3 linked regions of the Struthio camelus genome follow. The protein of the gene in region 1 purifies or fractionates together with the protein of each later gene. This does not show direct contact. Links are inferred from orthologs where the notes say so. Each region holds a gene or a part of one and is shown in the gene's direction. Other genes may lie near its edges.

What was found.
Region 2: the proteins of PTPRU (region 1) and CLGN purify together in Homo sapiens (affinity purification with mass spectrometry; 3 studies listed by BioGRID and IntAct, with this or other methods). This does not show direct contact. The link is inferred for Struthio camelus from reciprocal best matches to the Homo sapiens genes PTPRU and CLGN.
Region 3: the proteins of PTPRU (region 1) and GOLIM4 purify together in Homo sapiens (affinity purification with mass spectrometry; 3 studies listed by BioGRID and IntAct, counting the BioPlex papers as one, with this or other methods). This does not show direct contact. The link is inferred for Struthio camelus from reciprocal best matches to the Homo sapiens genes PTPRU and GOLIM4.

What each region holds. Positions count from the first base shown.
Region 1 is NC_090964.1:5,776,149-5,786,977, reverse strand, and holds the start of PTPRU (receptor-type tyrosine-protein phosphatase U), read left to right. Parts: upstream 1-6,740; 5' UTR 6,741-6,844; coding exon 6,845-6,917; intron 6,918-10,829.
Region 2 is NC_090945.1:33,018,185-33,028,482, reverse strand, and holds the start of CLGN (calmegin), read left to right. Parts: upstream 1-6,359; 5' UTR 6,360-6,521; intron 6,522-8,356; 5' UTR 8,357-8,365; coding exon 8,366-8,527; intron 8,528-10,298. Other genes in the region: alpha-1,3-mannosyl-glycoprotein 4-beta-N-acetylglucosaminyltransferase-like protein MGAT4D, read left to right, coding at 231-257. UniProt on the Homo sapiens protein: Functions during spermatogenesis as a chaperone for a range of client proteins that are important for sperm adhesion onto the egg zona pellucida and for subsequent penetration of the zona pellucida.
Region 3 is NC_090950.1:28,823,438-28,833,820, forward strand, and holds the start of GOLIM4 (Golgi integral membrane protein 4), read left to right. Parts: upstream 1-5,550; 5' UTR 5,551-5,679; coding exon 5,680-5,866; intron 5,867-10,383. UniProt on the Homo sapiens protein: Plays a role in endosome to Golgi protein trafficking; mediates protein transport along the late endosome-bypass pathway from the early endosome to the Golgi.

The sequences.
Region 1 (10,829 bases):
CAAAAGCGCTAATTGCCTGGGGTGGGGGGGGGGTGAGGGGCGTTAGGGCCGTGGGAAGCGTTTCGGCCTGAGCCTGGAGAGAGCGGCCGGGACTGGGAGCGTCGGTCCAGCCGCGGGAGCAGCTCGGCCACGGCGGTGCCGCAGGATCCCCGGCGGCTTCACTGCAGCATCTCAGCTATCGCGCGGCGGGAGGAACGGGAACGTGCTATTGCGGTGAGACGGGGCGGGAGACACCCAACGCCCTTTCCCCATCCCGGAGCTGCTAACCAAAAACCGACGGTGCCGCTGGCGGCTGCAGCCCCCCCCCTCCCCCCCGGCAGCTTTTGGGGGTCTCGTCCGGGCACCCACGGTGCTCGAATAGCATCTTCCCGGCTATTTCCCGCGGGAGCGCTCGCTCATTCGTCGCCGCGAACAGGAATCCGGGCGGCTCCGGCGGTTTCTTCGGACGAAGGGGCCCAAGTTATTTCGTCCTTTCAGGCTGCGCTAACTCATCTAATAGCTCTATTAGAGGCGGCCGCGGCGCCGCAGCGGGCGCCTGGCCGCTGCCGGCGGGGCCTTGCGGGGCGAGAGCGGCTAGATGAGACAATCTTTTTTGTCCGTTAAGGAAGAAAAGGACTTTGGGCATTAGTAAAAGGTGATTTGAGAAAATAGCGGAGTCTTATTAGAGATAAAGAACTGGCTGGGGGCGTAATAGGCGGAGAGAGAGAAAGAGGGAGAAGGCCGGGGAAGAGGGGAAAAAAAAGACTGGCATAAAGGGAAAGGTGGGGGGGGAGCAGAAGGTAAAAATTTGGGGTCTCGAATGGCTTCAATTCCTCTGTAGCATCGCGGACGGCTGCCTGGCGCTGGGCAGGGTGGCTCCCTCGGCGCTCTGCGAGATCGGTCGTCCCAGGGACGGTCACCGCAGCGAGTTACGGCTCGGGAGGGGAGATGCTCCCTCCAGCCCGTGCTAGAAGCAGGAGGCATTGCGGGGGGGGGGACCCCCTTTTTTGGGTCAAAACATCCGCAATCTGCATGCGCCGGCTGGGAATTGGCTTTGCTCCATCGGGGATGGGAGCGGAGGCTGCCGAGGCGGAAACCTTTGCCTTGTCCTTGCAGGGGAAATATTCTCAAAATGACCTAAAATCTAATTTTGGGGGGGGAGGGGGGTTTATTTTGCAGTGAGTCTGGTCGGAAGGGGTCTGCGGTGGAGCTGGGGTGGAGGCTACGGCATCCCGGGATCGAGACCCCGGCTGCGCCACCACCGCTGCTCGTGCCTCAGTTTCCCCCCTCCCCGTTTCATCTTCCTCCTTTCCTCCCGCCGTCTCGCCCTCCCCGGGCTTCGGGCTGTCTCCCAGCTCACTCAGCCAAAGCAAAACCCCGTGGTTTTCATGGGAAAATGGGTGAATTTACTCCGGCGGCAGTAAAAAGCAAGGAACCGACCTGGAGAGCAGGATAAAACCCTGCTCGCCCTAGGGGCTTGCCTGAAGGCCCCATCCCGTCCGGATCACGGCCCTCTTGGGATGCGAGGAAATTCCCAGGAATCACCCCTGGAAGCTGGGACCTTCTCCACCGGCCGGGGCGGCTCCGGGCCGCACCAGGCAGGACGGCACCCCGGCATGGGGCCGGCCCTGGAGCAGGTGCAGGGCTGGGAGGAGAGCGCTACCCACTGCCCTGTCCACCTGGCAGGGCCCCGAGCCTTCCTCATCCTCATCCTCACCCTCGGCCTCATCCTTATGCTCAGCCTGTCCATGGCAGGTCCGTGGTGGGTCCGTGGTGGGTCCATGGTGGGTCTGTGGTGGCTCCGTGGCAGGTCCATGGTAGCTCCATGGTGGCTTGGGGGTGGCTCCATGGTGGCTTCATGGTGGCTCCATGGCAGGTCCATGGCAGGTCCATGGCAGGTCCGTGGTGGGTCCATGGTGGCTTTGGGGTGGCTCCATGGCAGGTCTGTGGCAGGTCCATGGTGGGTCCATGGTGGCTTCGGAGTGGCTCCATGGCAGGTCCGTGGCAGGTCCGTGGTGGGTCCATGGTGGCTTCGGAGTGGCTCCATGGCAGGTCCGTGGCAGGTCCGTGGTGGGTCCATGGTGGTGGTACGGGGCTCCCCGTCCCCTGGCTGCTGTGAGTGCATGACACGGCCAGGTTGTGTCCAGCGGCCCCGACCCTAACGCTTCCCGTTAGGCTGCGTGAACACATTTAGCGCGTGGGAAATCAAAACTCATTTCATCCCGCGCTCCGTGCCCGGGCACTTGATCCCCCGCCGGCAGAAGGAGGGGGGAGAGGGGGGCCAGTCGCCGTCCCCTTCGCCCGTTAGCTGCCGAGCCGTTCGAGGCTCTCCTGGCGAGACGCTTTAACGAGCGTTTGCTGCTCGAGAGCCGAAACGCTGCTTTAATTGCAAACACGCTGACGGGGGGCCCTCGGCGGCAGCGCGGCGGGAGGGGAAGGATGGACTTGCGTCGCTGTCTGAGCGGCGGCCGGAGCGGGGCTGCCCGGTTTAATCCCGCTGCGGGAGGAAGCAGAGGGCAGCCCGGACGCCTGGGCCCTGCAGCGCAGGCGGGTCAAATCGTGGCTAACGCTCTGATTTCACTCGGAGAGCGTGGGACCGGCGGAGGCGAGAGAAGAGCTGTGATTTCGGGGCGACGGCCGCCCCCTCGCCGCTGGCGCTTCCCGGGGCGGGCGGCTGGCTCCGGCGGGGCTCCAACCTCCGGCCTCCGCGGCTGCAACTGGCAGAGTTGGGATTTTTTTGGGTTTTTTTCTCCCCGTGCTTGGTAAATTCCTCGGCAGGCGGTGCGGGAGCGGGGAAGGGGTTGCGAAGCGGCTCGGAAAGCGGGCGCGCGTTGGGTTGCGACACGTTGGCCGGGAAAGGCGCTTCGGGAAACGCTGGCCCGGTGCCCGCTCTGCTTGCGCGACGCCTTGTTCCGAAAAGCGACTTTGGCGTTTAGAAAAGGGCCGGCGCGTCGCGTGAAAACGCTCGCGCGCCTTCAAAGCGCCGTCTTTTCGGGTTGCTTCGCCAAAAAATCCCGGCGATGTCCTGCGGCAGCCCGCTGGCCTGAAGCGACGGCGGATTAGAGGAGCTGTGTCCCGAGGGAACGGATATCGGGGAAGGGGAGCATCGTATTCCTCATCCCTGGGGATAAAGGACGCGTAGGGACTTGCAGGGCGGCAGGATCCTGCAGAGCCAGGACCCAAGCGGGGCAATCGCAGCCCGCCGGGCAGCACCCAACGGCCGCTCGCAGCTCCAGCTCCTCCTGCCCCTGCGGGGAGCTGAGCTGCCCCTGCGTTCCCGTTCTCCCGGCGCAGCCGTACCTGCTTCCTGGCGAACCACGGCCTTAATGAACGGAGCGGAGATGTTAATTGGCTTCGGACAAGCGGTTTGTCAGCTGCAGTTAATGAACTCGTGCCTGCCGCCCGCGGGCTCGTGCCTGGAGAGCAAGGAGGCCGGCGGGTCGGAGGGACCGAGCCCGGGAAGCGCAGCCAAGCCGTTAATTGCCGCGGAAGAGATTTATTCCTGGGAGGTGTTTCGTCCGTCGCCGGTTCTGCGCTCTCCTGGCTTCGCTGCTCGTCTAAGCGGCTTAATTCCTTTATGAGGCATTATTTTAACAGGCTTTTAGCATCGTCGGAAGGGGATTTGTCAGGCTTGCGCAGCGAGGGGCAGGGGGACGGCTCTGCCGTCGCCGGCTGGCGATGGGGCCCGTCCGTGCTCGGGGTGAAGGGCGCCCGCGTCCGCTCCGGGCAGGACGGATTTTAATGGTTTGCAGAGATTTTACGGTTGGCTCAGCTCGGACATGCTCCCCGAGGTGGAGGAGCAGCCGGCGGCGGAGCCGTCTGTCTCCGGCGGGCTCTTTGGCTCCGATCGCACCGATGTCGGCGCTCTGGGTAGGGGCCACGTCGTGTTTGGAGTCCCGGGACGGGACCGTCCCTTGGGTAGGGACACGCTCCCAGGCCACGCGCCAAGACGGACGCAGGGTCTTCACCTAACGCGCGGAGGAGAAGATGGGCAGCGGCGATTTCCCGCGGTGCCGGCGCGGGAACCGGGGCGGTTCGGCCTCCCCTCGGCCCGGGGCCCCGCTGGCACCGTGGGCACGGGCGCCAGCCGGCGCGGGGACGTCCGTGGTGGGGCCGCGGACGTGCGAGGCAGGAGCCGCCACGCTCCGGCCTGGCTCCGATGAGCCGGCAGGCGCCATCCAAGCTGTTTTCCCTTCGGACGGACGACGCCGGGCGGGTGAAGAGGGACGCCGGGCCGAGCTCGGCAAGCGATGCCCGAGACGCGGCCCACCTCTCGGGTCCGCATCGCCGGCGGGTTCGTTCCGCCCCCGCTGCTTTTGGGAAAGGACGGCTCGGCTCCGGGCGCCAGCGGCTCCTGCGCTGGCCCGGCGCTTCGAAGCGCTCCTCCGGGGCCGGCCCGGCGCGATTTATTTTCCCGAGCGAGTCTTTGTCCTGTGATGGATCCGACCCCACCTGGATAAAGCAAATAAATGAGCTCAATTTGCAAGAGCGGCAAGGCAGCCTGGCGGAGCGCTGCCTTTCTTTTCGGTGGGGGGGGACAAAGAGAAATTGGAGAAAGCTTTTGGCATTTGCTGGCAGCGCTGTGCAATGCGAAGCAAGGCTATTACCAGGGACACGGCGCACGTCTTCCGAGCCGGGATTTTCCTAGGAGGTTTGCAGAGCTGAATTACACCCATCTATTAGCCGTTTGACACCGCAATCCGTCATGCTCAGGCTCGGATGCCTCCTCCCGCACCTCCTCCATCCGGGCACCGCCGCGGGCACGCCAAGGCCTTGCCCGGCGAAACGCAGCCGTCTCCCACCCGCCCTCCAAGTTTGTTTTAATCTTCCCTTAGACCTTTTTTTTCACCCTATTTGTCGCCGGAGCCGGGGGCCACGGCGGATGACGCCGGCGACCGCGGTGCAAACTCCCGCCCTCTGCTCCAAACCTTTGGGAAAACATTTCCCTCCGTAAACAGAGCTGCAGAGGATGCCGGCGAACAAGGCGGCTTTCACATCCCTTGGCACCGGTGCCCAGCGCCGCGCCGTCCCCGCGCTTGCTCCCGAGACGGCGCCGTGCCCTCGTGCAGGGCTCCCCGGCGGTGCTTGGTGCCTTCTCCCTTGCCCTGTGTTTTTTTCCCCCCCCCCGCCCCATGCCCACCCCCGTCGGAGAGATTTTCCTCCTTTTCTGCCCCTCTGTGTTCACCCCACGCTTGCTCCGGGTTATCTCGGCCGCTCCGGCTGCGTTCGCCAGCCCTGGGCGTTCGTTGCCCGGCGAGCATCTCTCGCACCCCCCCTGCAACTGAGGATGCCTCTGCAATCAGCGCCCCCCCCCCGCAGCCATGCACCCCATGCATTGCAACCAGGGATCCCCCCCACCTTTGCAATGGGGGACCTTCCCCTGCAGTCACGCAACCCCCCAGCAGGCAGGAACCTGCCCTGCAACTGGAGACCCCCCCCCGCAGCCATGCACCCCTCTGCAGCTGGGGACCCCCCTGCAACCGGGGACCCCCCTGCGGCCACGCACCCCTCGCAGCTGGGGACCCCCCTGCAACCGGGGACCCCCCCGCGGCCACACACCCCTCTGCAGCTGGGGACCCCCCTGCGGCCACGCACCCCTCTGCAGCTGGGGACCCCCCTGCAACCGGGGACCCCCCTGCGGCCACGCACCCCTCTGCAGCTGGGGACCCCCCTGCAACCGGGGACCCCCCTGCGGCCACGCACCCCTCTGCAGCTGGGGACCCCCCTGCAACCGGGGACCCCCCTGCAGCCACGCACCCCTCGCAGCTGGGGACCCCCCTGCAACCGGGGACCCCCCTGCGGCCACGCACCCCTCTGCAGCTGGGGACCCCCCTGCAACCGGGGACCCCCCTGAGGCCACACACCCCTCTGCAGCTGGGGACCCCCCTGCAACCGGGGACCCCCCTGCGGCCACACACCCCTCTGCAGCTGGGGACCCCCCTGCAACCGGGGACCCCCCTGAGGCCACACACCCCTCTGCAGCTGGGGACCCCCCTGCAACCGGGGACCCCCCTGCGGCCACACACCCCTCTGCAGCTGGGGACCCCCCTGCAACCGGGGACCCCCCTGCGGCCACGCACCCCTCTGCAGCTGGGGACCCCCCTGCAACCGGGGACCCCCCTGCGGCCACGCACCCCTCTGCAGCTGGGGACCCCCCTGCAACCGGGGACCCCCCTGCGGCCACGCACCCCTCTGCAGCTGGGGACCCCCCTGCAACCGGGGACCCCCCTGCGGCCACACACCCCTCTGCAGCTGGGGACCCCCCTGCAACCGGGGACTCCCCTGCGGCCACGCACCCCTCTGCAGCTGGGGACCCCCCTGCAACCGGGGACCCCCCTGCAGCCCATGCATCTCTCTGCAGCTGGGGACCACCCCGTGCAACCGGGGCTCCCTCCGCCACGCGGGACCCTCGCGCAACCGGACCCCCCCCCCGTGCAACCGGGGCTCCCTCCGCCACGCGGGACCCCCGTGCAACCGGACCCCCCCGTGCAGGCAGCAACAACCCCGCAACCGGAGCCCCCGCCGGCGCGGCGGCCCCGGGGCGCGCGGGGAGGGGAGGGGGGAGGGGGGCTGCGGTTGCGCGCGGCGGCCGGCAGGGGGCGGCGCCGGCCTGCCCGAGGCGCGGCGGCGGCGGCGGCGGCGGCGGCGGCGGCGGCGGCGGCGGCGGCGGCCCCGCGCGGCGCTGACGTCAGGCGGAGCCGGTCGCCGCCGCGCGGCCGCCGCTATTTGAGGCGCGGGGCGGGCGCGCGTGCCCCGCTGCGCCGCCGCGCCGAATCCGCGGGCCCGCAGGCGGCGGCGGCGGCGGCAGCAGCCCCGCACCCTCCCCCCCCTCTCCCCCCCCCCTCCCGCCGCGGCGGGCTGCACCATGCGAAGCGCCCGGGCGCTGCTCCTCGCCCTCGCCCTGCGGGTCTGCGCGCTGGACACCGAGACGCCCGCCGGTGAGGACGGTGCGCGGCGCGGTGGTGGGGGAGGACGGACGGACGGACACGGCGGCTCCCGGCCGTCGGGGCGTTTTGGGGCTGCGCAGCAGCGCCGAGCTCCGCGGGGGGCAGCGGGGCGCCGCGGGCTGGGGCGCGCTCGCCCGCGGGTGCATGCTCGCAGGTGTGCACGCTCAGCCGTGCCCGGGGGTGCTCGCAGGCGTGCCGGCGTGTGGGTGCCTGCTTGCATGGGGTGGGGGGGCGCTTGGGTTCCCCCCCCCCCAAATACCTTCTCCGGGCCGTCGGGGGAAAGAGGGGCTCGGAGCGCGGCCGCCCCGGCAGCTCGCGAGCCGCTGCCGGCCGCTCCCGCTGAGGTTTGCAACTGAGATTTAGTCCCCAGCGAGCGCCAAGTTTCGCTGCCCGCGTTGGAGCGGGGGCCGGCGCCTCGGCCCCCGGCGCGTTTCGGGCCGCCGCCCCGGGAGCGCTCCGGCCGGCACCGGCACGCCGAGCCCCGCTCCGGGGGGAGCGCCGCGAAGGGGGGGCGGCAGAGAGGGACTCGCTCCGCTCTCCGGGCGCGGATCGCTCGGTTCGTGCCCGCACCGATCTCCAAACGCCCGTGTCCCCTCTCCCAGATGTGGGTGTTCCCCCCCCTCCGCCTTGCTCCTTCCAGCTGCTGTTTCGCCGCCGCGATCCAGCCCCGCGCTCGGCGGCCGCGCTGCCTTCCCAGCCGCGGAGTCATGCCCCGCTCCGCGGTGCCTCCTGCTCCCAAGTCCCCGCAGCGAGCAGCGCCTGGGGACACCTTAAAAAAAAAAAAGGGGGGGGAAGAAAAAGCCATATTTTCCTGCAAAGCCGCGAGTTGGAGGGGACGAACGCGCCGCGTCCGGCTCCCTTTACCGCCCCGAGCGCCTCCACCGTCGCAATCCCTCCCTCTTCCTCCCTCTTCCTCCTTGCCCGCAGCGCCCTGAGCAGGAAATAAAACTTCATCCCGGCGGGCGGGTGGTTATTTACGGGGTGTTTTGGTTGGGGGGGGCGGGTGGAAATCCCCACCAAGTGGTCAGCGCTGGTGGGTGCCCGGCCGGTTCCCGCACGCTGCCGGCCCCGTCGGGGCGACTCTTCCCAGGCCCTGCTCCGCGGCCCTCGCCGGCAAAGATCTTCCCCTCCAGACACGCAGCTGGTGGCACCTCTGATTTATTATTATTATTATTTTTGGAAGTGCTTTTTTGGCTTGTGGCTGCAAGCCGCGAGGTCCCAAGTGGGGAGCGGGGCCCCAGCTCTTCCCCCGCACCGCTTCTTGCGTGCCGGCTGCCGGGTAGGGATTTGGGGAAAAACAGGTGGTGTGCGAGGCCGTGCCGCAGCCTGTCCGAAGGCCGCTCTCCGGTTACAGCCTGCTCGGCTGCGTGCTGGGTTTGTTGTGGGTTTTTTATTTTTTTTTGGTTTTCCTGAGATATAATTAGAGTTTTGCTAAAGCATGATCAGTTTTCTCCCTCCTGCTGAGCACTTTAGCCTTGGAAAAAGGCTGCTTTCCCGTTTCTTCTGGCTTTTTCCTTGGGGAAAGAGCACAAAGCGCCCCTGCAAGAGGAGGGATGAGCAGAGGGTAAGCCGAGGGTGAGGGGGGGAAAAAAACCCCTGGCAAACGGGAGCGGGTGCAGAGCGAGGCCGGGCCGTGGATGTTCCCGGGTCAGCCAAGCCTTGCAGCCGGAGCCGGGGCAGCTGCAATTAGGAATCCTGTAGTGATTTCATGTATTAATGATGATGAGCAGAGACAGCACAGGGCTGGCGGTAGAGGGGGGACAGGCAGTGCCCGGCGAGGCCCTTGCGAGCACCGAAGCAGCTGCTGGCTTAAAACGGCAGCACCAAGAATCTAGGTGAAAAAACTATTTTTTTTGGTTGTTTTTTGCAATGCTGCCTTGGTGCCTCGGTTTCCCCGTGCGCGAGGTTGGGGTGCCGCTGGGCGCGCTGCCCGGTGCCGCTTGCGGGGCTCCCTCCGGGCAGCCCCGGAGCATCGCCGTCACCTTGTGCACGGCAGGGTGGGGGGGTCGACCTGGGTGCTACCTTGCAAAGTGGCACCCAGCGAGGACGGGACCCTGCAGCTCCAGCTCTTCGGTGACGCCCTGTGCGCTAAGGCATGTTTTTGCCTTGCTCTTTGTTTTCCCTTCGCTTAAAACCGGAGCGGCTCACCTGCATGCAGTCCCTGTGCTGGTGCATTGATTTGTTTTTTTTGGCGTTTTTCTTTTTTTTTCCTCATGGCAGCCTCTAGCCAAAAATTAAAAATAGCGGTGCCTGTCAGCAGGAAAATAAATAAGGCTGACCTGTAGGGTGGGAGAGGGCTGAGGTGGGTGATGGATGGCTGAAAGAAGGGCCATAATGTGACTCCCTTGAGTGGGGAAACTGAGGCACAGAGCACTTGTGACCATCCAGCTCCCATGAGAGAGGCTGAGCTGGGGATGAACCCAAACATCCTGGCTCCAGCTTCCCCCTCCTGCTCCGGGACCCCGGGCCGATGCTCTCCGCTCCTTTCTGGAACGGGCGAAACTTTTGCCGTTCATTAAAATTTCACAGTGGCGAAGCCGTCGGCACGTATCTGCGTCGCGCCGCTGGGAGCGGGTGGCGGGGGGGGACCTCGAGACGGGGGGTCGTCGCGCTGGGGATGTTAATTTAGCGGCCGGGAGCGTCGGGGCGGGCGCCGGAGCCTGGCGTGGACGGGCCGGATGCAAGCGTAACCCGGCGAGCCACGATCAGTAGTGGCATGGCAGTGAGTTGTCACCCGGGTGGCTCCTAAAGGGTGTGTGTGTGGGGGGGGGACAGGTGCCAGCACTCCGTTCTGGGCGCTTCGCAGACCGCTTGGTGCTCTGGGTGCTGCTCCCCGTGGGGCGAGGGTGCTGGAGAGCTTCCCTGCTCCCGGGTGCCTTTGGAAGAGGAGCTGCCGAGACGTCCTCATCCGCCCTGCGCCAGGCATCGATGCTTCTAGCAGTCGCTGGCCCCGTGCCCTGGGGCAGAGCGGGCCCCGTCCCCGTCTTCCGGGTGTTTTTTTTTAACTCCCGGATGGGTGGGTGATAAAAGCAAGTGTCAAAGCTCAAACTCGGCTATATAAAACACGCGGGCTGCCATTGGGTTGCGGCTGGCCTAAGAGCTGGTCGTCTCCGCTGCCGGGTGGCATCGGGCTCGCTCACGGGGCGCCTGATGCTCCGGGATGCGGGGCGGCGTGATTCCCGGAGCCCCGGCTCCGTCGTTCTCCACCTCCTCGGGGGTTTGGGTCTTTTTTATGTCCCTGCTCTAGCAAATCTCTCGCTCTGCTGCGTTGCACTGATGCATCCCGTGAAACTTCAGCGATTGCTGTGCGAGGAGCGTGCTGCAGGCGGGATTAGCCCCTCGCTGGGGGTCGGGCTGGAGGGGCTGCGCGAGGCTGCTGGCCCCCCCGCCACCGCGGGCGCGACGGGCAGCCCCGACCGCGTCCCGGCGCGGCTTTGTCTCGCCCGAGTGAATGGGAAACGCCGAGCCAACGCGTTCCCTTTTGTCAGGCCGGGGCTGGGATTGGGGTCAGGCACCGGCACAAAGCCGCGTGGCTTCCCCCTGCCCGCAATGCCCCTCTCCAGCTGTTAATTGCAACATCTTCATTAGCGTGCGGTGGGGGTTGGGGGCAGAGCCGGGGCAGGCAGGGATGCTCGGGGAGGAGGGATGCTGCATCCGTGCCCGCCTGCGCTGGGGTCCCCCTGCCCCTGCTTTGCAGCGCGTCGTGCGTGGACGGCTGCAGCTGGGCTCGGCGCGGGTTTGCAGGCTGCTGGCACCCCGCTCTGACCGGCGCCGGGCGCTGCGGATGGGACCAGGGTGTTTATGCTCTCGAGGCTCCCGGGTGCTTGGGAGCAGCAGGATCGGGCGCCCAGCGCTTTGCTCTGCGTTTGCTTTCCTCCGCCCAGCTGGAGAAAGGCTCCCTCT
Region 2 (10,298 bases), on another chromosome or scaffold:
CACCACCTTGCATGTTAGTCATAACATGCAAACATTTTCAGATGACCATAGATTGTTTTTTATCTCCAAGTGTCTGAATGTGTGTGAACCCATAAGTAGAAAACATTCAGAAGAAGTCATTGAAGAGAATTACTTCAAACTGTAGTCATGCTCATAAGGAGGGAAAAGCTGATGTTTCAGTCAATGTTTTGGTATGTTTTAGAAAATAATTTATCCTCTGATTTTTTCAGGTGTTTATCAAGACCTCTGAAAACTGAAAACTGGAAAAATTGCACTTTTGAGGTGCCGCTTTTTACAGACTTGTTTGAAATCTAGGCTAACAGCAGCAAAAAGCCTGACTGGCTGAGAAGAGCATATCCAAACAAATCCAAAGTATTTAATTCTTAATACTGTGTATTAGAAAAGAGTGGAGATAACGGTTAAATGTTTTTATGAAGAATATTAAAAGATATGAAGAACTGAATTATGTTAAGTAATTCTACAAAATGTTCTTGATTGAGCTGTCATGTATGAAAATCTTACCTTAGTTTGGCAACACTGAGTAAACATTGCTACAAACAATTGTCAAGATGTTACAGGATGTCTCAGGAACCAGAGCATAAAATTAAGTTAAACCTCACGAGAACTAAAAATGAGGACATTTGAGGGGGGGAGAAAAGGGGGATGTATTTTTCAATTTTTCATTCATTTTTCACTAAGAAAACCTGGTTAATTTTGGAGGGAAATTTGAACACAATGTATTACACACAGTACACACAGTACTACACAGTACACAGTTTTACACACAGTATTAATTCCAAGTCCTTGGAGTAGTCAATCAGAGAGAGGAGCAACTTAGCAATATGAAAATGGACTTCAGACTTACCATAATGAGTGTGTTTCACACTTAATGCAGCAGAAGGTATGTTTAACATTTTTTAAATGGGAAGTGCCTCTAAGTTACCATTTAAATAACTTGAAAATCAAACAGCTAAACTTCATCAGATTGTAAAACTTTTCACTAAATTGTGTTGTATTAATTACAGAAAATATCTGGTATATTATGTGTAATTATATTTTTGTAGAAGGAAAATCTATTTAAATATAATTTTGGATCCTGTAATTTATCAATTTTTTATTTAACTGTATGTCCTGGTACTTAAGTCCTACTCAAAATGCAAAACTCCATACAAACTTGAAAATAAAAGTTAAGCCACACAAGTATCATTTAAAATGTGTTTGGGAAATGATAGTCTACCTTGGACATCTCCCTGTGACGTGCAGAATTCCTGTATCACCTCCTTAACACTTGAAGCACGAGCGCACCCTCGTTCAACCCATATGCAGCGCAGTTTAACTGCACAATACTGACAAATAAGCTGCATATTTGCACGTATTTGTATTAAACATGTTTTGTAGGCTAGTATTTTAAAAGCAATTATATTTTCTTTAGAGCAAGAAACATTAATTATTCTTACATACATTAAAATGGCTGAAAGGCTGTTTTTTGAAGAACATCTTTAATTTAAATAGCTTATTAGTAATAGTTTAATAATAGTTTGTGAACTAAACATTGCCGCCTTCAGAAGGTTAAGAACTTAATGCAGTGTGTTATACATAGGGGAATCCAGAGTGCTTAGAGAGACACAGGGGAACACCTTTATCTGTGGGCACGTACAGTAGGAAAAAAAAGGTTGAGTGAGACTGGGACTGGTGGATCGTGAAAAGTACAGCGGTTAAAACTACAGCTAGAGAAAGAAGGGAAATAAAGTGGCTCTGCATAGAACTACATGGCATGCGAAGGGCTGAGCCTCCTCCCTCGGACTCAGGTTAGGAGAGCCATTCAGATAATTTTTTTTTTTCCTCTACTGATAACAGGAGTCAGGCTGACACCTAATCATAGAAACTTAAACTAAGGCGTAAAACACAACTTAGATTATATTAAGTGAAGACAAAGTTAAGTACTCTTAAGTCATTCTTCTCTTAACTCTAACCTTAAAAGGCTTTAGCATCTTTGCAGGGGAAAATAAAATTAAAGTGAATAGGGCCCTTACCCCAAAAGGCAAAGGAACAGATATAACCTAGAGAATGCTTTCTTTTTCCTGTGGGGTTTTAGGAGCCTTTATGGGTATGAAAATTATTAAACTGTACTTCTTTTTTAAGATCTTAGTTCAGTTCTTAGTGTGTCATAAGTTTTAGTACCTTCATGGAAATCATATTGTGTCACAGAGATTATCTTCATCTTAAAGATCTTGTCAAACACTTCAGAATGGTACCAAACAATTACAATTTTTGTAAATTTACTGGAACTGTCATCTGAATTGCCCTTTTATAAGGCCTGTTGCTCCCACTACTGAAGTATGATTTAAGTAGAAAGAGCATCTCTTCTAGACTCTTTTGCTAATTAAGCACATAATCTGGTTTGAAAAAAAAAAAAAAAAAAAGCCAAGTCCTCTCTTTTGTTGTTGCTTTCAGTGGAACCAAGTCACTGGCTGGGAGCAGGGTTTGCATTCAGACTGCCTGTCATTTGTTACAGGGAAGTGTCATCGCATTGGAGGAAATTTCAGATCAATTATTGATCAATGAAAACACAGAAAATACTAAGGTAGTAGAAAAGATTTTGTTACTAAATATTCTTATTTTAACACTGAAAAGATATTTCACTGCAACTCTTGAAGCATGATTTCAAAAAGCTCATCATAGTACCTGAAATTATAGTATGAAATGCATGGACTTCTGTAAGTATAATTTTTTCATTTTGCCCTGCCAGCTTTGTCTTTCATTTAGTCTATTTATGTTTTTATATATCTCAAACCATTGCAGTCCCAGAACACATTGCCTATCACTTTGACATACAGGAGCATTGTAAATGTTAAAATACTGAATGCTTGCATGTGCACTGTTAAGTAAGATCCTGCTTAGTCTCCGTTCTTCCGTGTGCTTTGTGATGTGCAGATGTTGTCTTGCACAAATCTGCAGAATCACAGCCCTACTATAAAACTAAAAGCACCACATAGGAGGAACTCTGGATTTTCACTGAAGAAGCGATATCTAATTTTTGAGTGTTACAGTGCCAATAAGTTTTAGACAGTGGCATGTAATGGAAATATGCCTCTGTGTTTTTACCTGCTAACATCAACAACCAACATTGGAGTGAGTTATCTGGATTTATTCATAGAAATCTTTGTTACACATGAAGTGGTTACAGATCATACGTAGTCCTCCTTCTGACCTGGAAAGTATGTCCCTAGCAGGGATTTTCCATTTAATCTCTTGTGTCAAACCAGAACAAGCTTTTGCACACTGTTTCTGAGGCCAGTGTAAAAGCTGTTATGAAGCCCCCTCATGAGCTCGTAAGGACTTTCAGTTCAGATCATTGATCTGGGGGATAAGGAACATCTGTTAAGGATGGCTATTTGTTGCATTGTAAATATTATGTTTGTAAATTACAACACAAAAAAAGGTAAGCAGGAGATAAAAATGAAAATATAAAAGGACGTTCTAATTCCAAACTAGATCCCTGAGCTTTTTCGGTAGGAAATTTTACCTCAATACTTTCATATGGTTTAAAATATAGTCTCCAAAATACTAACTACCTCAGGCTCACTCTACATAGCAATAATCAGGTTAAATGCATGTATGGGAAGAAAGCACATTTTTCAGGTTATTTCACTATTAATGATGTTTATTCCATCCATTTTGATATCCACTGAAATGCAGTTACTCATTTCTCTGATTGGTGTCTCTGCATTCTTGTTTAGAGCCTTTGAGGGACTTTTGGAAGGGGTTTGTCTCTGAGACAAAAGCCAATTATAAACTTGGTTTTAATAATTTTTTTAAATATTGTTATTTCCATTAATGATGTGGGACCCTAATCTCATCACTGTTACTATGACCTTTTGCAGTTTAATACAAGTACACATCCAGTGTTAATGCTAATGATGCTAGGCGTACACTGAGAAGAGACTAGACTATTGAACAGGAGTATCTATTACAATTAATGAGGAGATTTTTAATCCAAAGTTTAAGATGGATTTAATTATTGAATTTAAAATCTTCTCTCCCAAATATATGAATGAACGTAAATGTGTTCCATATTCAAGGATCTCAGTTCTCCCCAACATTTACTTTTACTGTTATTCATAAGTCACACATCTGTTAGCTAGCTGCCCTACTGGTTGTACAAACTAATGGTCTTGTCTGAGACTGCTGCATGGGATGCTTTAAAAAAAAAACCCAAAACACTACTACATATTTAAATAAATGTGAGATCCCAGATGCATCTTACATAGATGCCTTGCACTGAACAGTAGCAATATTAACAATTCTGAAGTGAGCAGAAATCTTGAATTCTGCAATCGCTTCTAAAGCATGTGTATTTCAAGCTGCGGGGATAGTTTTCATCTGTCTTTTTGATGATGGATTGCACAAGAACATTCCTAAATTTTTTTAGCTAAAGATGTTTACAGATTTAAGTTTCTGTAGAACTGAGGTAGAACTTCTGAAAAGTATACTAAATAAATATTTGAATTAAGCCTTAGCAGATCTTTCCTATCATCATTACCTAAGCCTTAATAAGAGAAGAAATTGTATGGCTTTTCTATTTTTGTGAAGAGATGAATATTCACTGTGTTGAAGTTGTAAAGACTAACTTGTTTGCAGCTTGTAACTGAAATAACCTGCAGCAGTCTTAGACTTCGACGACACCATCAAATGAAAAAAATCACTCATCTGCATTAGTTTATAATGACCATATAATGCCTAAAGGCAGAATATCGCAAAAACATTAGTATTTGGATTTACAAAGTATTTTACATATTCTGATGGTAACTGAACAATTCTGAGTTATTTATACTAGTGAGCAGACTAATACATGGTAGACAGAATACCAGCTGGAGAAATCTGTATCTGTATGGGGGAAGCTTAGCTTGAGGGGGTACAGGCCATACGCCTGTGTCTTAAAGACTGTTTCTTAAACGTGGGAAGAATAAAATAATATTAAAATAGATGGTTGTGGACCGAGCACTGGCTGTAAGGGGCGTAGAGCCCTGAGCAACAAAATCCTCTGACTTACAGCCATGCTTCCATCAATGCTCCTGGCATTTCCTTACTGCTTTTCTTTCAAAGAGGCACACGTTGGCGTGAACAATAGAAAGAAGAGCTCTGCGTATGTGCCGCGATACGAACTTCTGTGGGCAGTGAAATATACCTGCCTTTGAGGGGGTGACTGGTACTGAAACACAGCCCTGGGTGCGTGGGGCGTGTACTTCTTTAAAACAGTGTTTAGTGAAGGGTTGCAAATTAAAGAAATTTAACAGCACCAGATGAAAGGCAGTGGCTGTAATTATACAGCATTTATGATTCAGCTCACAGACACTGGGGAACACTGACCTTGAAACGAGCGTTACAACCCAGGCAGCCTTTGGGGAGGAGGCAGCCTCTGACAACGCGAATCGTGAAGTGATGCAGCGTCACATGCAAGCGCTGCTAAACTGAAATCTCATTTATCAGTTGCTGTGCGGAAAAGTTCCTAGTGATCTCTCAAGGAATTGCTTTTGTCTCTGCCATCCCCTGCACCGTTTTAAATATTGTTTTTCTGCATCATGTCTTGAACTCTCATGATTTGTTCGCTCTCCAGAACGGAAGGATATGACTGTGAATCAAGCTGAGTCAGGAAGCTGCTAAGGGTAGTAACCTTGTATCTGGGGTACATAAGGGATCCGGGGGAGGCTTTAAGGAACGGGTTTGGAATGAAGGGAGCAGTGCCTCCACTTAGCTATTCCTCAAATGCAGAAAGCAAGGCTAGACTCATTCTCCAGTTCTGGAAAGGGTTTGGTTGATGTGGACTAAATTGTTTCAGTCAGTGACGGAAAGAAGCCTTGCCTTTATCCAGCCTGATAAATGACTGATGCTGTACCACGACGGATAAGTTTGCCTGAAAAATGCCGTGCTGGAGCGCACATTTATGACTTTCCAAGGCAATTCAAGTAGATTTGCCGTCTCCCCCAGTTATTTTCCCTCAGCTGGGGATGCGTTATTAAGGTAAGCGTCGTGTCTATCACAAGCTCAAACGTGTCATACGTAAAACCCGGTGTAAACCACTGCAGCGGGACGGTGGGACGGCCCCACAGCAGCGCCGCCGCGCGCCCCCGCCCCCGCCGCGCGCCCCCGCCCCCGCCGGGCACGGCGCTGGGCGATTGGCTCGGGACCACGTGCGGGAACGCCGACATCCGCGGACTGAGCCTCGATTGGCGCGCGCGGCGCGGAGGGCGCTCCTGATTGGCTAGGGCTGCCGCCCTCCCGCTCGCTGAGGTGGTGATTCGCTCGGTCCGTTGGAGCCGCGCGCGGATTGGGCAGGGCTTCACCTGCGGAGCCTTGATTGGCTTGGGCTGAGCGGCGCGAGCGGCTGCACCTGCTGCTCGGCGCCTGCATCCCTGAGAGCGCCGAGGGGGAGGTGGTGCGCATGCGCAGCCGTGGTCGGTGATGCCCTGGGAAAGGCGGCCCGGTTTGGCTAGCGGGTCGCGGACGGGATTTCGTCGCCGGTAATTCGCCTGCCGCGGGGAGGGGGGCGTGCTGGGGCGGCCTCTACGGCGGGGGCTGGCCGTGCGCGGCGGCTGCCCCCGGGGGTTGAACAGGGGCGCGGGGGGGTCGCTCTTTTTTGGTGTCGCTGCGTTTCGTAACTAGGGCAAGGGGAGGCAGGAGGGCCGCAGGGGCGGGAGTCCCGCGGGGGGGGGGGCCGTCCTCCCTCCGCCGCCCCTCAGGGAGAGGCCGCCCCGCCGGTGCGGGCAGCGGGGCCGGCCGAGGCCGCGTGTGCCTTCCTCTTTTCTCCCCCCCCCCCCCCCCCCCGCCCCGCGCAGGGGTGCGCCTCGCGCGCCGGGCGGCCGTTACTCGCCGTTAGCCGCTCGCGACGCCAGCGTTCGGAGCGCGAGGCAGGGCCGCGGCGCCCCGCCCTCCCGGTGCGGCGGGGAGCCCCGGGGCCGCCCGACTCCGGCTGTGAGGGAGGCGGCGGAGGAGGAGCGGCGCCGCGGCGGCCGGCGCCTCCCCTCGGCCCGGTCACCGCGCGCCGCCCTGCGGCCGCAGCAGCCGCCTGCCCCGGGGGCGGCGTTGGCGGCTCCTGCCGCCGCCGTCTGCCTCAAGGTAACGGCCGCTGGGTTTTTCTCGGGCACCACCTGAACGCCCGGTGGTCGCATGAGTCGAACCTCTTAAACTTGAGGAAGAAGCGTATTCCTGGCCGTTTTACTCAGGAGAAACGTAGCAACGCAATTGCTTGAGGAGGGACTTACGCAAATGTGATATTACAGTTTGGGTTATATCTTGCTAACACACTCATCTTACCACAGCATTTTTAAGATCTATGTAAAAGATAGGAAAGTACCATTTTTCATCCCAAATAAAGGAAACTAAAACGTTCTGTAAGAGCTTGAGTGTTTTTCATGGAGGAGTTTCAGCTGGATGATGTCTGGGCAGATTCATGTGCATGTAGCTGTATGGGGAAGGAGTGAGGTGATATATGGTTATAGATGAAAGGGCAGGGGAACGCCCATCGACCTGGATGGAACTAGTATTTGACAGTGGGAAAAGCCTATGGTGGTTGATGTTGCTTGCAGGACCTTTAGACCTTTGAGTGAGCAAAGCTCTTCATGGCAATTTTCTTCACGTTCCGCTTGACAAAAGCAAATTTTGCTCTTGTAAATAGTTTAAATAGTTTTGTGAAAAAGACTCTTCAGAGTACAGTGAAAAGCACTGAAAAGTTGGTAATCCACAAAATCCTGCATTATGTTTAGTTTCTTGCATCAAAAGGAGTAACAATAGCCTTCTATGCGTGCTTTTAATCTAATAGCATGCGTAGAATATACGAAATGCCATGGTGCAGCGGTCCCCAATTGACATAGTTACGTTCTCCAGTATTCCATAGAAATTGAGTGATTTGCTGGGGAAGGGCCTTAGGAGAAAGAAATTGGTTTATAGAAATTATAGAAATTGATTCAATTTGATTACTGGTTCAGATTGATAAGGAATGAGTAATTAAAAGCATTCTTAGTTCTTAAAATTGCATACATCCAGCAGTCGTGTTCTTGCTGCATTGTTGGCCTGGCAAGGTAAGGGATCAGGCTACAAGCCCTTCCTTGGGGAGAAGGGGAAGGCAAAAAAAAGTCTTAGGATTGTACAGTAAAAAGAAATTTAATATTAAGGTATAGAACTTTCCTAACATGAGAGAATAGCGAGAGAATAATAAGAATGGGAATAGAATGATTATAGTCTTTATATCTTGTTTGGATATGGTTCTTTTTTTCTTGTAGCTAAAATCTTGAGTAAAATTGAACTAGCATTGATAGTTTGCAATGATATTTATAGTTTACAATTTTCAATTCTTCAGATAAGCAGGATGCACTTCCAGTGGGACTGGCTGTGCTTGAGTGTCCTGATAATTAGCCTAGTAACTGCAGAAATTGAAAATGAAGAAAATCGAGATACAGATGTTGAAGTGGAGGATTTTGACAAGCAGTCAGAAGATAATAATGTTGACAAAGATGAATCTTCCTTAGAGGTAAGATTATAGATGTCTTTAGTTAAATCTTGTTTAATTTTAAGATAGTTATAATTAACATAGAAATTAGTAAACAAACGCATTTTAGAAAGAGCAAATTGCACACATTTGACAGCTCACATGGGTGACAAACTCACAAAGGTGAGGTTTTTCAGTTGTTGTGTGAGACATGGAGGACAAGCTTTATGAATGACTCTACTATGTGAAAGTGGAAAATCAGATTTCCTACCTGTACTTAGATAGTCCTTAAAAAAGCCTTACTAGTCTATACTTCAGTCTGGAGCTGGAGCCTTTAGTTTTAAGTCATTCTTGGTAATATACCTTGCAGCCTAACACGCATTTATAGAGAAGAAAGCAGAAAATGTTGCTTGTGCTTATTCTCATTTTGACTTCAGAACAGGTTCTTAATTTCATCAGTCACAACTGTCTGTCTTACCTCCTCTTTATTTATTTCTTTGTTTACTCTCAGAAGATCTTTCAGCATTTGTTATGCTGTACTTCATAATAGATGTGGACACTTTTTTTCTGTTTTTAACTGCGCAGCCCAACTATTATGTGCCAAATAGAAAGGACTGTGGGGGAGAGTGACAAATCTGTATAGAAAGAAATAGGGAAGAAACAGAGAAGTGGTGCAAGTTCAGTAAACTTTCTATTTTTTGGGTTTTTTTTTTCCCCCTTTGATTTGTAATTTATCTTTGTTCCTCTAGAGCTGCTTAAATGCAGGGGTCGATTGCTGTTTTTACAAGTTTATGCAGCTATATGTTCAAACTGAGAAGAGACTTCCAAGCTCTCCATCCTATTGAAAAATGAAAGGACTGTCCGAGCATTTTCTTCTACAAACATGCTTAGTTAGCTTAGTAAAACTTAAATATCTAAATATCCTGTACTATATTTCATTTATATACTTCAAGAGTCCCCAGATAAGTTTATTTTCAATATCAAATAATGCAGACCTATTATAGCTTTCTCTCCTCTTAAAGTAATAAGAAAGAAATTTTATGCATGTTTAAACAGTATGAATCTGGATATTTGTATTGACTAATACAAATATATGCCATTTTGTTCCTCCTCTGATGTGAGTTTAAAGTTATTTGGCATATCTTTGGCATCACTGTTGGAAATTAGGGCTTCAGTACAGTGGGGCTGTGAAACTACTTCCTCTAAAATTTATTATGGAATCCTAAGCACCAAGCATAAGATGATGTGACAGTACTTTACTATTTAATTATAAACCCTGAACACAAAAAGCAGATTTTGTACTTAATGTGTTTTTTATGTTTTATCATATCTGAAACTTTCCAAGATGTTGATTTGTTCCCTGTGTCTATCTGCGAGGGCACAGCAAGCAGAGAGGAAATAACTAGTGATAATCCAGTATGCATTTGTGCTCTGTACTGTTTCTAGTAGGAGAACCACAATCCAGTTTTCAGAAATCTGGAAAAGAGAATGAGTTTTTACTATATCTGAAAATGAGGTTAAAACTGACCTAGTAGCCTCTCTTACCGTTGTTAATATGCCACTGGAAATGAAGCTCTCAGATCCCTCTACATTTTAACGGTCCTTGCCCTGAGCCTTGGTTTGCTCCTCTGCTGTTGGCTATTTTCTCTTGGTCACATGGATGCTTCATGTCTGAAAAATTGCTCATCGTTGGATGGATGCACCCAAACTGTAGAAATGGTGTGTGGGGCGGGCGTAAGCATCTTATCCTATTAGATGTTCCTAATGAAGGATCTCAAGTGGTGTGGCTGGGTAGACAACTTCTGGAGGTATG
Region 3 (10,383 bases), on another chromosome or scaffold:
AATCTGCTTATGTGCATTAATTATTAATTATAAGGATAATTAATTGGAGCCAGTAAGATGACAAGAGTATGTAAGTCAGAAAATACCAGAATTAAGATATTCAAAGACTGAGCTTAGCCTCCTTATTCATTTCCACTAATAACTACATTTTCTCACCTCATTCTGACACTGTTTAAATTACATCATGTACCTATACAGAATTTTCTCATAGGCATTTTATCTCCTTTCTTACCATGACTGCCAAGCAATTCAGAACAATACATCTTTACATATCCCTATAAGGTAGAAGTTAGCCATATCTATTGTTCTACAACCAGAACTGAGGTACCAGAAAACAAAAGCCAAAAATGTGTGTTTATTTTGAGGGTCCAGTTTGGGATAATCTGTGTTTAAATTTTTTCTGAATACTAAGTAGCAGAACACTTTCTATGTTGAAACATAACTCCCATTGCCCTCACCTCAGATTAAGACTTTGATTAAGCAAATAAGAGTTCAATTGATGGCTTCAGTTGGACACTCAGATATAGGCAACTGATAGTCATCTATAAAAAGCCTGCTTTAAGTGACTTCCCCTAATGTCACTAACTGTGATCTCAGTCAAGGATGTAATTCAGTTTTTCCAGGCAGCATTCACCTCCTGAAGCCCAACCATTTTATTTCTTCAGTACTTGACCTCCAATAAATGACCCCATGTGTTAAAACAATCTTTATACGTGTTAGCAGGCTGCAGTTGCTAGACAAAGGTCGTTCTTGCCTAAACATCTGCAGCTGGAATGTACTTTGTAGCTGGAGCAGCAATAACGTATGTCTTGCCTGTACAGTCCTTAACTTCTGGCAACCAAATGAATAAGTCGTGAGTTGTATGGGACAACCTTCACAGTACCTATCCATCACTCTGGATCCCTGATCCATTGATAATCTGCCGCCAGGTCTATTGAATTATTGTCGTCATTGGGTCATTCTGGAAAACCTCAAAGCTGTCCACTGATCATTTTTATTAGGACATTGGTTTCCATAGTTACAAAATAATCAAAGAATCAAGCTTAATAAAACTGGCAGTGAAAGAATGAATGAAATCATAGGAGAATCACGCTAAGAGGAGGAAAACAAACAAGGGAAATAAAAGAAAAACAAGTAGTTCTGTGATATCCAAACTTCTTGAGGACTGGCTTCCCACCCTTGTGGTTGACTATGAGAACTAACGTTCCAAAGAAATGGGACATTTCTAACATGTCTCTCCTGTGTAGATTCTCTTTTACCTAGTTGAGTTTTAGCACATGTAGCCTTACCTTCTGTTAGGTAACTTACTTAGGCTTATACTTGGTACATTGCTCCTCTAATTTCTCAGAATGTATAGGAACTTAATTTTGCTCAACATTTCTATGGTACAGTTAAATTTTTCTGAAATTTGGCAACGAGTTGCCAACTGTTTGTCCCTGTCATGGACAAACTGACAGATGGTGTGATTGCATAAGCCTCACTTTGTTAGGAAACTAAGCCAAAAACGGTAAATATATGTGTGCAAATGCCTGCCCATCAATTCCCTGTCGCAACCTCTGAGCACGCTTCCCATGTTACAACATGGGTCAGCAAGCACCTATCCCCCTTCCGTCCTGATTATATCAATAACTTATTCAGTGACTAGAGCAGTCAAAGTAACACTCCTCTCCTAGCAACTAATTTAATGCATTTGTATAGATTACAGTTTCCTTCTGGTTCAAACCTTTCTAATTTGGGATTTGAATTCATATTTGCCTAATGGATTCACTTAATAGTCCCTTGCTCCCAATAAATTCCTCATTTTAACTTTAATTGGTTTGCTCATGAAGAATCAGAATTTACATTAGCTGGAAACGATTTATCACCAGCTATTACTGAATGTAAGTAATATTTGATCAAGCAAAAGGAGAGAGACTCATTTCCTATTTTCTCAGCATTTGCTAATGTTATGGCCAATTTCTACAAAAAGATAAAGTATATTAACATCATAATCAAATAAATGCATTTAGAGTAAGTTCTACTTAAAGACCTTAATTCACTGTCCTCTTAAATCTATGACGTATCTTTGTGACGTGTATAAACTCATAATGATAACCAAAAATAACTACCACATTCAGATGTAGTTGCTGGCTAGACAATTGTTCTTTGGTGCAAAGTCATCAAAACTAAAGGTGTAGACTCTTTTTAGGAAAGGTAATGTAAGCAACAAGCGTATAGTTTGATTACCTGCAGTACTAACATATTAATCATCTCCAGTGATTTTAAAGTCTCAATCTAGAAATAAAGAACTGTTTTATTCTACTTAAATAAGCTCAGCCTGAGGAGTCTGGGAAAGCAAGAATACACAGGACATCTCTGTGAGTGAGTCTGGGAGAGAGGAAGACAAGCTGGAGTTTGGGGGGTACTAAGAAGCCTACATGAATATTTTTGTGAAAGCAACAGATACTGTAAAACTGAATGAAAACAAGTCCATTTGAAACATTTGTGGTTTTGAAAACAAGTTTGAAAACGTAAATTCACAAGCTTCAGGAAACTTACTGAAGGCAAGAAAAAAAAACATGAATACTTAAAAAGTATCACTAGTTTAAAGCAATTATAATTATTTCTGGGTGCCTAACTTACAATTTTTGAACATTTTAGTTGGCAACCGTGGAAGTCAGTGGGTGAAGAATATTGTTTATCCACTGTAAATGCAGATACTATGAATATAATTACATGCAATAAATTACTGCTAGCATTTTTGCTGCTAATGGAATTTTCCACTGAATCCGTTCAGCAGGGAAATACATCTTTCTGTACAATATTCAGTACATGAAATGTTAAAACTTGAGATGGAAAGTAGTCCCATCCGCAATCTTCTTTAAAACATTTTTGCAAAATGTCACAGTATTAATTATCTAATTCTAAATGTTATAAGCAAGTCAACAAGTGAGTATAGTTGTTTGATATTCAAATTCAGCTGCAAATAAGCTAAAATAAAGCTGTTCACTATTGCAGCTTTATGGATGATGGACAGCTTGGGCGTAGGTAGAGCAAATGTGCGTTCTTGAAAATGAGGATGGTACAGACATATCCCAAGACAGGCAAACATGGGAGAAAGATTAAAAGATGATACAACTAAAAGCATAAGGAAAAATGAAGATCAAATAGGAGCCTTTATTCTGACTGTAATAGAAGAACAAGGCATTTAGTTAAATTAAAAGACAACAGATTTAAATTAGAAATACATTTAGGTAGAAGCCATGCCAGCTTGTGGTAGTGACTGCAATTAGTTACTAGTGTATGTAGAAAATGTGAACATATTTTTATACCTCTTTTATGCTGTATTTCTTTTAGGGCCAGCAATGGCGCCTGTGATAAACTCTAGCTGCACGCACACTAGAAAGTTGGATATTTTTGGAAAAATAACTTTGGATTATGTCTTTTTTTTTCCTTATTAGTATTACTAGCTAAGCTTGTGGCAAGTGGTTTTTTTTTTTTTTTGGATAATAAAATACCTTAATAGAGAGAACTCTAGTTCTGTTAATTCTGAAGTCCTGTTGGTTAAGAATTAATTCTGTAAGACCTTTCTCACCTTTCTCGGCACAACGATGGAATTCGGAAACACTGCATGAGCAGAGCACAGGCACAGACATGCGGCCTCAAATTCACCAACTGCCTCAGCTGGACTCTCAGAGGAGAAAAAGGCAAAGAAAAGCTGTCAGTGATGCTCGGTGCCTCTGGGCTGTGTCAGCACCCGGAAACAAAGAACGGTCAATGGCCTATGACATAAACGAATGAAATGAAAAAAATCTAAATTAATGTGGGGCTCAAGCAAGAAAAAGAGGCTTTGGGGGACTTTGTTTCTTCTGTAAGACGCAGTTCACCCTCGTGCTCCTGGAGCGCTGCAGGCCCCAACGGCCACGCGGCGGGGCCTGGTGGGCACCCCGCCACACCGCCTGTCACATGCGGTGTCACACCCCGCCACTCCACCTGTCACACATGGTGTCACAGTGTCACACCCCACATCGGCTGTCACACATGGTGTCACACCTCGCCACATGCGGTGTCACACCCTGCCACACCACCTGTCACACATGGTGTCACAGCCCACCACATGCAGTGTCACACCCCACCACACTGCCTGTCACACATGGTGTCACTCGCAGTGTCACACCTCACCACATCGGCCGTCACACATGGTGTCACACCTCGCCACATGCGGTGTCACACCCCGCCACACCGCCTGTCACACATGGTGTCACAGCCCACCACATGCAATGTCACACCCCACCACACCGCCCGTCACACGTGGTGTCACACGCAGTCTCACACCTCACATCGACCGTCACACATTGTGTCACAGCCCACCACATGCGGTGTCACACCCCACCACACTGCCTGTCACACATGGTGTCACTCGCAGTGTCACACCTCACCACATCGGCCGTCACACATGGTGTCACACCTCGCCACATGCGGTGTCACACCCCGCCACACCGCCTGTCACACATGGTGTCACAGCCCACCACATGCAATGTCACACCCCGCCACACCGCCTGTCACACATGGTGTCACAGCCCACCACATGCGGTGTCACACCCCGCCACACCGCCCGTCACACGTGGTGTCACACGCAGTCTCACACCTCACACCGCCTGTCACACATTGTGTCACAGCCCACCACATGCGGTGTCACACCTCACCACACCACCTGTCACACATGGTGTCACACGCAGCGTCACACCCCACATCAGCTGTCACACATGGTGTCACACCTCGCCACATGCGGTGTCACGCCCCGCCACACCGCCTGTCACACATGGTGTCACAGCCCGCCACCCGCGCCGTCACGCCGGCCGTTACACCCGTCCCCTCAGGCAGGGCCCCGCGTGGCGCGGCGCAGCGCAGCGCGCGCCGCCAACCGCCGCCAACCGCCGCCCCGCTCCCTTGCCGGCCCGCAGGAGGCGGAGGCGGAGGCGGAGGAGGGGGCGGGGCGGGGCCCCCGGCGGCCCGGACGGACACGCCGCTCACCCAATGCGCGGAGGCGCTGCCGCCCCGGAGGGAGGGGAGAGCGCCGCGGCCGGGCCCAATGAGGCGGCGCCCGGAGCGGGACTTCCTTGGGGGATGCCGCGGCGGGCAGCGGCCGAGCGCGGGCGGTGACACGTAAGTCGGCGCCGGGAGGGGGCCCAGGCCGCCAGGGAAGTTTCCTTTGTTTCTCGTCCAGGTGGCAGCGGAGCGGAGCCGGGCGGGCGGGCGGGCAGACAGACCCGCAGGGGAAGCGCCGCCGCTGCCGCCGCGGAGCGGCTGCCGACGCAGACGCCGCCTGACGGGACGCCGCGGCGAGCCCCTCCCCGCCCCCCGCTCAGCCCCTCTCCCCGGGGCTGTGGGGACGCCGCCCGGGCAGGGCCGGGTCGGGTCTCTGGGCGGCGGCGGCGTCGGGCCGCGGCGCGCAGCAGCAGCAGCAGCAGCAGCCGGGGCGGCCCCGCGGGGGGCAGCATGCGGCTGGGGCGGCCGCCCCGCGCCTCGCTGAGTGCCGCCGGCCCCGCTGCGACGCCCGCGGAAGGCGGCGCGGCGGCGCCCCGGGGCTGAGGCGCCCGGCCCGGCCCGTCCCTCCTCCCGCCGATGCCGCCGCCTCCCGCCGCCGTCTCCTGCTGCTGAGCCGCGCTCGCGGGGGGCCCCGGGGCCCCGCCGGCGACTATGGGCAACGGGATGTGCTCCCGGAAACAGAAGCGGATTTTCCAGACCCTTCTGCTCCTGACCGTGGTCTTCGGCTTCATCTACGGGGCGATGCTCTACTACGAGCTGCAGAGCCAGCTGAGGAAGGCGGAGGCCGTGGCGCTCAAGTATCAGCAGCACCAGGAGTCCCTCTCCGCTCAGTTACAAGGTACCTCGGCGGCCGCCTCCGCCGCCCTCTCCCCGGCCTTCCGCGACACCCTCCTCTTCCTCCTCCTCCTCCCGCTCCTCCGGGGGCGACCGCTGTCTGGCCCCTCGCAAGGTTTGCCTCCTCGCGCGCTGCTTCTCCCCTTCTCTTCCTCCCCGTCCCGCGAGGTTTCGAGGTGCGAGCCCAGCCTCGTCCCAGCCGGTGGGAGCCTTCGCCGTAGCCTCCGGGGAGCTCTGCTCTCCCCTTGCGCCATAGCCCTTAACGCCCGAGGACTGCGCGCCGCTTCGATCGCTGCTGCGGACGGCGGAGGCGAGCGTTGCTCCTCTTCCCCTGACAGTAGCGAATGCTTCTAGCTCTAGTAAAACCCCTTTTTTTCAAAGGGTAATTTGAAAGTAAAGTTGAAGTAACTGAGTTGAGTAAGGCGATTCTGTTGCATTTAGAACAACTTGGGTTCTTTTTTAGTTCGAAGCTGCCACGTAAATACATGTATCTTAGTTTAAGGACGCTCCAAACGTGAGTATTCCGTATCTGAAGACGAAAAGGTGCTGATTCCGGACATCTGCGTGTCTGGAAATCAGGTGCAAAGCAGAAAATACATACACGAAGCATCAGCTCTGTAGGAAGTGCAAGACCTCTGCACCTCCCTAGTTGTCAAGTGCAAGCTATCAGGTCACCACATTCAAAGACCAGAACCAACTTCCAACTTTTAGGAATTTATTTCTTAAAACTGCACAAAAAAATAAGAGTTACCTCTAGCTACTGTAACAGTACTTGACTTAAGAGAGATCTTTAACCATACTCTTCACTGGGGAAGCCGATGGAAAAGCATGCCTGGAAGCATACAGTTTTTAGGCAGAGATAGCAGAACTGGACTTAAGCTCTTAGGTTCTAACAGTGATTTGTTAATGAATATGATCAGTTATGGTCAGAGATCTTCGTTATGTAGTGTTTCAGTTTCAGGTAATAAAACTATAGTGCTGTGGAAAAATTTGATTAAAAACTTGCGTTTTCTTCACCGAGAAGGTATACATATTTGGCTGAAAGATGAGTTTGTGGCAGATGGCTAAAGAGCTACTTTTACTAGTCTGTATATTTGCCAACGGTATTTGAAGAGGAAACAGAGAAACAGGAACATCTTGTTCTCAAGTTAAAATTCAACAAGTTAGCTTTTTAGTTTTTCTCCTCCCTATTAGGATAAGGTTTGCTGCATGCTCCTCTTTCGTGTAGTGAGAGAAACGTATCAGTCAGATTCATTGGGTCTGGATTGTGAGGTTGAACTTTCTACTTCCTAATTGTTATTATGAGTAGCTGTCATCTATCCAAATAAATTCATGGATGCAGCATTGTCCCTGCATTAAGTTCCTCATTGATACACTAAAAAGAGTGAGAGGATAAAACTTAAAAATATGAGCTAGAATCTAAAAATGTCAATACAACTGATTATCAATGGAAAAACCAAAACAATTACGGTTCTGGGACCCGTGCCAACATTTCAAGTGTATTAAGTGGGAGATCTGATATATATCTGGAATGGTAGCCATAAGTTTATTTAAAAAAAAATTATTTGTGAATTGTAACATACAAGGAAAACATGATTTAACAATAAAATTGAATCTTTAAAACTTTCCTGTATTATGGCAACAGCTAATATAACTAAGAGAGGATAAGGCTGAGACCCCTGGAGGTGCAGTGGCAAGCCTAGTCTCCCACTAAAATAAATTGTAGCTATATGCTTAAATACTTTTAAGGCTCTGGGCCTAGTGAGCTAGAGTCCCTGTCTTTCCCTGTACTTTTAATACAACTGTTTCCAGGATGAACTGTGTAATTGCTTCCATCTTTGCAGAAGGAGTTTACTAGTGATAATAGAACAGAACTATTCCAGATCAAATTCTAGACAGAACTTGGCACTGGTGTCTATGTCCAATTCACCTGGAGCTGAACAAATGGTTCAGAAATAGTTTTAGTTTTGTATATAACCAGTTATTGTGTTTGTATAACTCTTTAATATTAAAACAATAGAAAGGAATTTTCTTTAAATAGCTACTCTGTTAAACATTGACAGAAAATCACGGGTCTGCAGGTGTGGTATCTGACTGCACTTTGAACTCTTAAATGGCCTGGATTTTAAATCTACAGTGTTTCTGTTGTCAAAGAAAAAAGCTCTACAAATAGGCTATGTTTCTTTGGTGTCCTTAACAACACGTGAGATTATTCTGACTTTATTCTCTTTGTAAGAACAACAAAACATGTCACTGCTAAGCAGCATGACTTATCTTTTGCATGCGACATAACCAGTTTGTCTTAAGACACAGATATTGCTGTAGAGACAGTTTTGGGAGCTGAATTATGCTGCGAGTGCTCTGAAATCTTTTAAATGGGAACTGTTAAAAATGGCAGGTCCAGTAACAAAGCATTGCCAGGAGGAAAAGAGAGTGCCTGTATTCAAAAACACTCGATACCTTAGTGCTTACAGCTCTCTTCTAGGTGGTTGAAAAGGACTCTAACTGTCATTACAAGCAGGGGAGGGAACTGAACCTGGACTTCCTGAAGAAACACTTCATCAGAGGGCTTGTATATAAAAAGGGGCAACTTCTAAAGTGTCTTTTTAAGGCTCCTGAGGATGTTTTGTGCTGAGCTGGGTATTTTCCTAGGTGGCCTACTGGACTGAAGCGCTTGGTTGACACTAAAATATTGCCTGGTTTTGGTTGGGTTTAGTTGTGACTGTTCAGGTCTATAAAGACAGCTGCTCTCCTCAATACATACAGAGGAACACTTGTAGGGCTTCCAGGGAAACTTGAGTCATTTGGTGAAACGGTTAAGGAGCGTAGGTAACTCCCAAGTTTGTGTGTCAGATCAGTTTTAGACTTGAATGCCTTTGGTCTGCCTAAATCTTGGGAAGGATCCTCAGGTGTAGTTTAGAGGGAAGTCTCTGTTTGCTTCTTAGCATCCTCTCTACTGTTTTTCTCTCTCTGCATAGTTTTTCAGATTTTCCACCTATGCCAGATGGTAAGAACCCTCTTTTTGGTGCTGGCCAATTCTTCATGTCTGAATAAGCAGTACTTTCTGTCTTTGAAAAGTCAGTCTTAGATGTTTTCTCTCTTTCATAGTCTTACTTTGCATGGATTCAACACGTGGACCAGGGCTGGATCTTCTATACGCTTGGGAAAAATAGCATTTACGTCTACCAAGGGAGAATGCATAGAGCACTGGAAAGAGGTCTCAAAATCCGCTAGCCCGTTCACCTGATCTGGAGAGTGGTACATACAACCCCTGCTGTAGGGAGTTCTGCTTTTTCTGGTGTTCACAACCTCAGGTACTTGGTTGAGAATTATTTATGTTTTCTGAAATAAGACAAGGATGCAATTAAAAGAATGGCAGACTTGGGAAATGAGAACAATTGCTTCAGAGAGGCTGGGATCTTAAGTTCCCCCTCTTTAGACAGTTCACATTGTGGAAGACTTTGTATTTGAAAGTTAAGCTTCTAAGCCATCACACAAAAGAGAATGTCAGCCTTCGGCATTGTTATCTCTTAACAAAGTTCTGTTGGACATGGAGAAAGTAGGGCTTCTTCTGTAACTCACAGTGGGAATCCTGGAGGCAAAATTTAGAGATGGCAGAATGCTTCATGGCTGCTAAGAAAACCCAAAGTCATTGTTATCTGTAAGGTCTTTCATAGAGAAGCTGATCTTCCCAGCAGGCTGATTATTTCTTTAAATCTTATTCTCTGAGCGTTGTATCTTCAAAACCTGAAGATAATCTTATTTCATCGTCCTTAATATGATAAAACAAAGCTTGACACTGTTTGTCTCCTACAAAGATGCATCTAAGTCTTAAGCTATATAGGAACAGACTTCAGCTACCAGAACAGATATGCATTGATGGCTGTAGACGAAGCTGATCCTATCTTTGACTGCTTCAAGTCTAAATGTATCTACAAATGCTGTTTAGCCCTTACAACTTCGGTCGTCTTAGCCTCTAGGTATTATATAACTCCTTGTGTGCTGTAAGTCTGCTTTAATCCCTAATCCCAATAGCAGCCTACATCTAGTGCCTTGTACTATCTTAATTTTCCTGCTCTTTCTGTTAGAGCCTTAATTATCTGAGGACTTAAGCAATCTCTCTTTCTGCAGTCTGAGGCTCAGCTATAATCTTGGGAGGCAACCCAGTAGGGGCTCTGAAACTGAGATTTCAAAGTTTACCTTATTATGGACAACCTGTGGGTTTCCCCCAAGCTGCCTGACTGAGCGCAAGAAAAGCACCACCTGAAAAGCAAATACAGAATTCTTCTGTACCTGTTGGGGAAGTTATTGTTCACATTTGTCCCAAATTGAGAACCTTCCCTGGAGGTGACCTGCTGAAGTTGATCAGATCTATTGCAGCTATATGTATAGAGAGCTATATAATGATGTATCACCGTAGCAGATCACAAGTACTGTGTAATATTGGTAGATTACTAAGATCAGTTTTGGTAGGCTACATCATATTTATTATGCCTGTCTGCCTGCTAGTTAAGTACACAA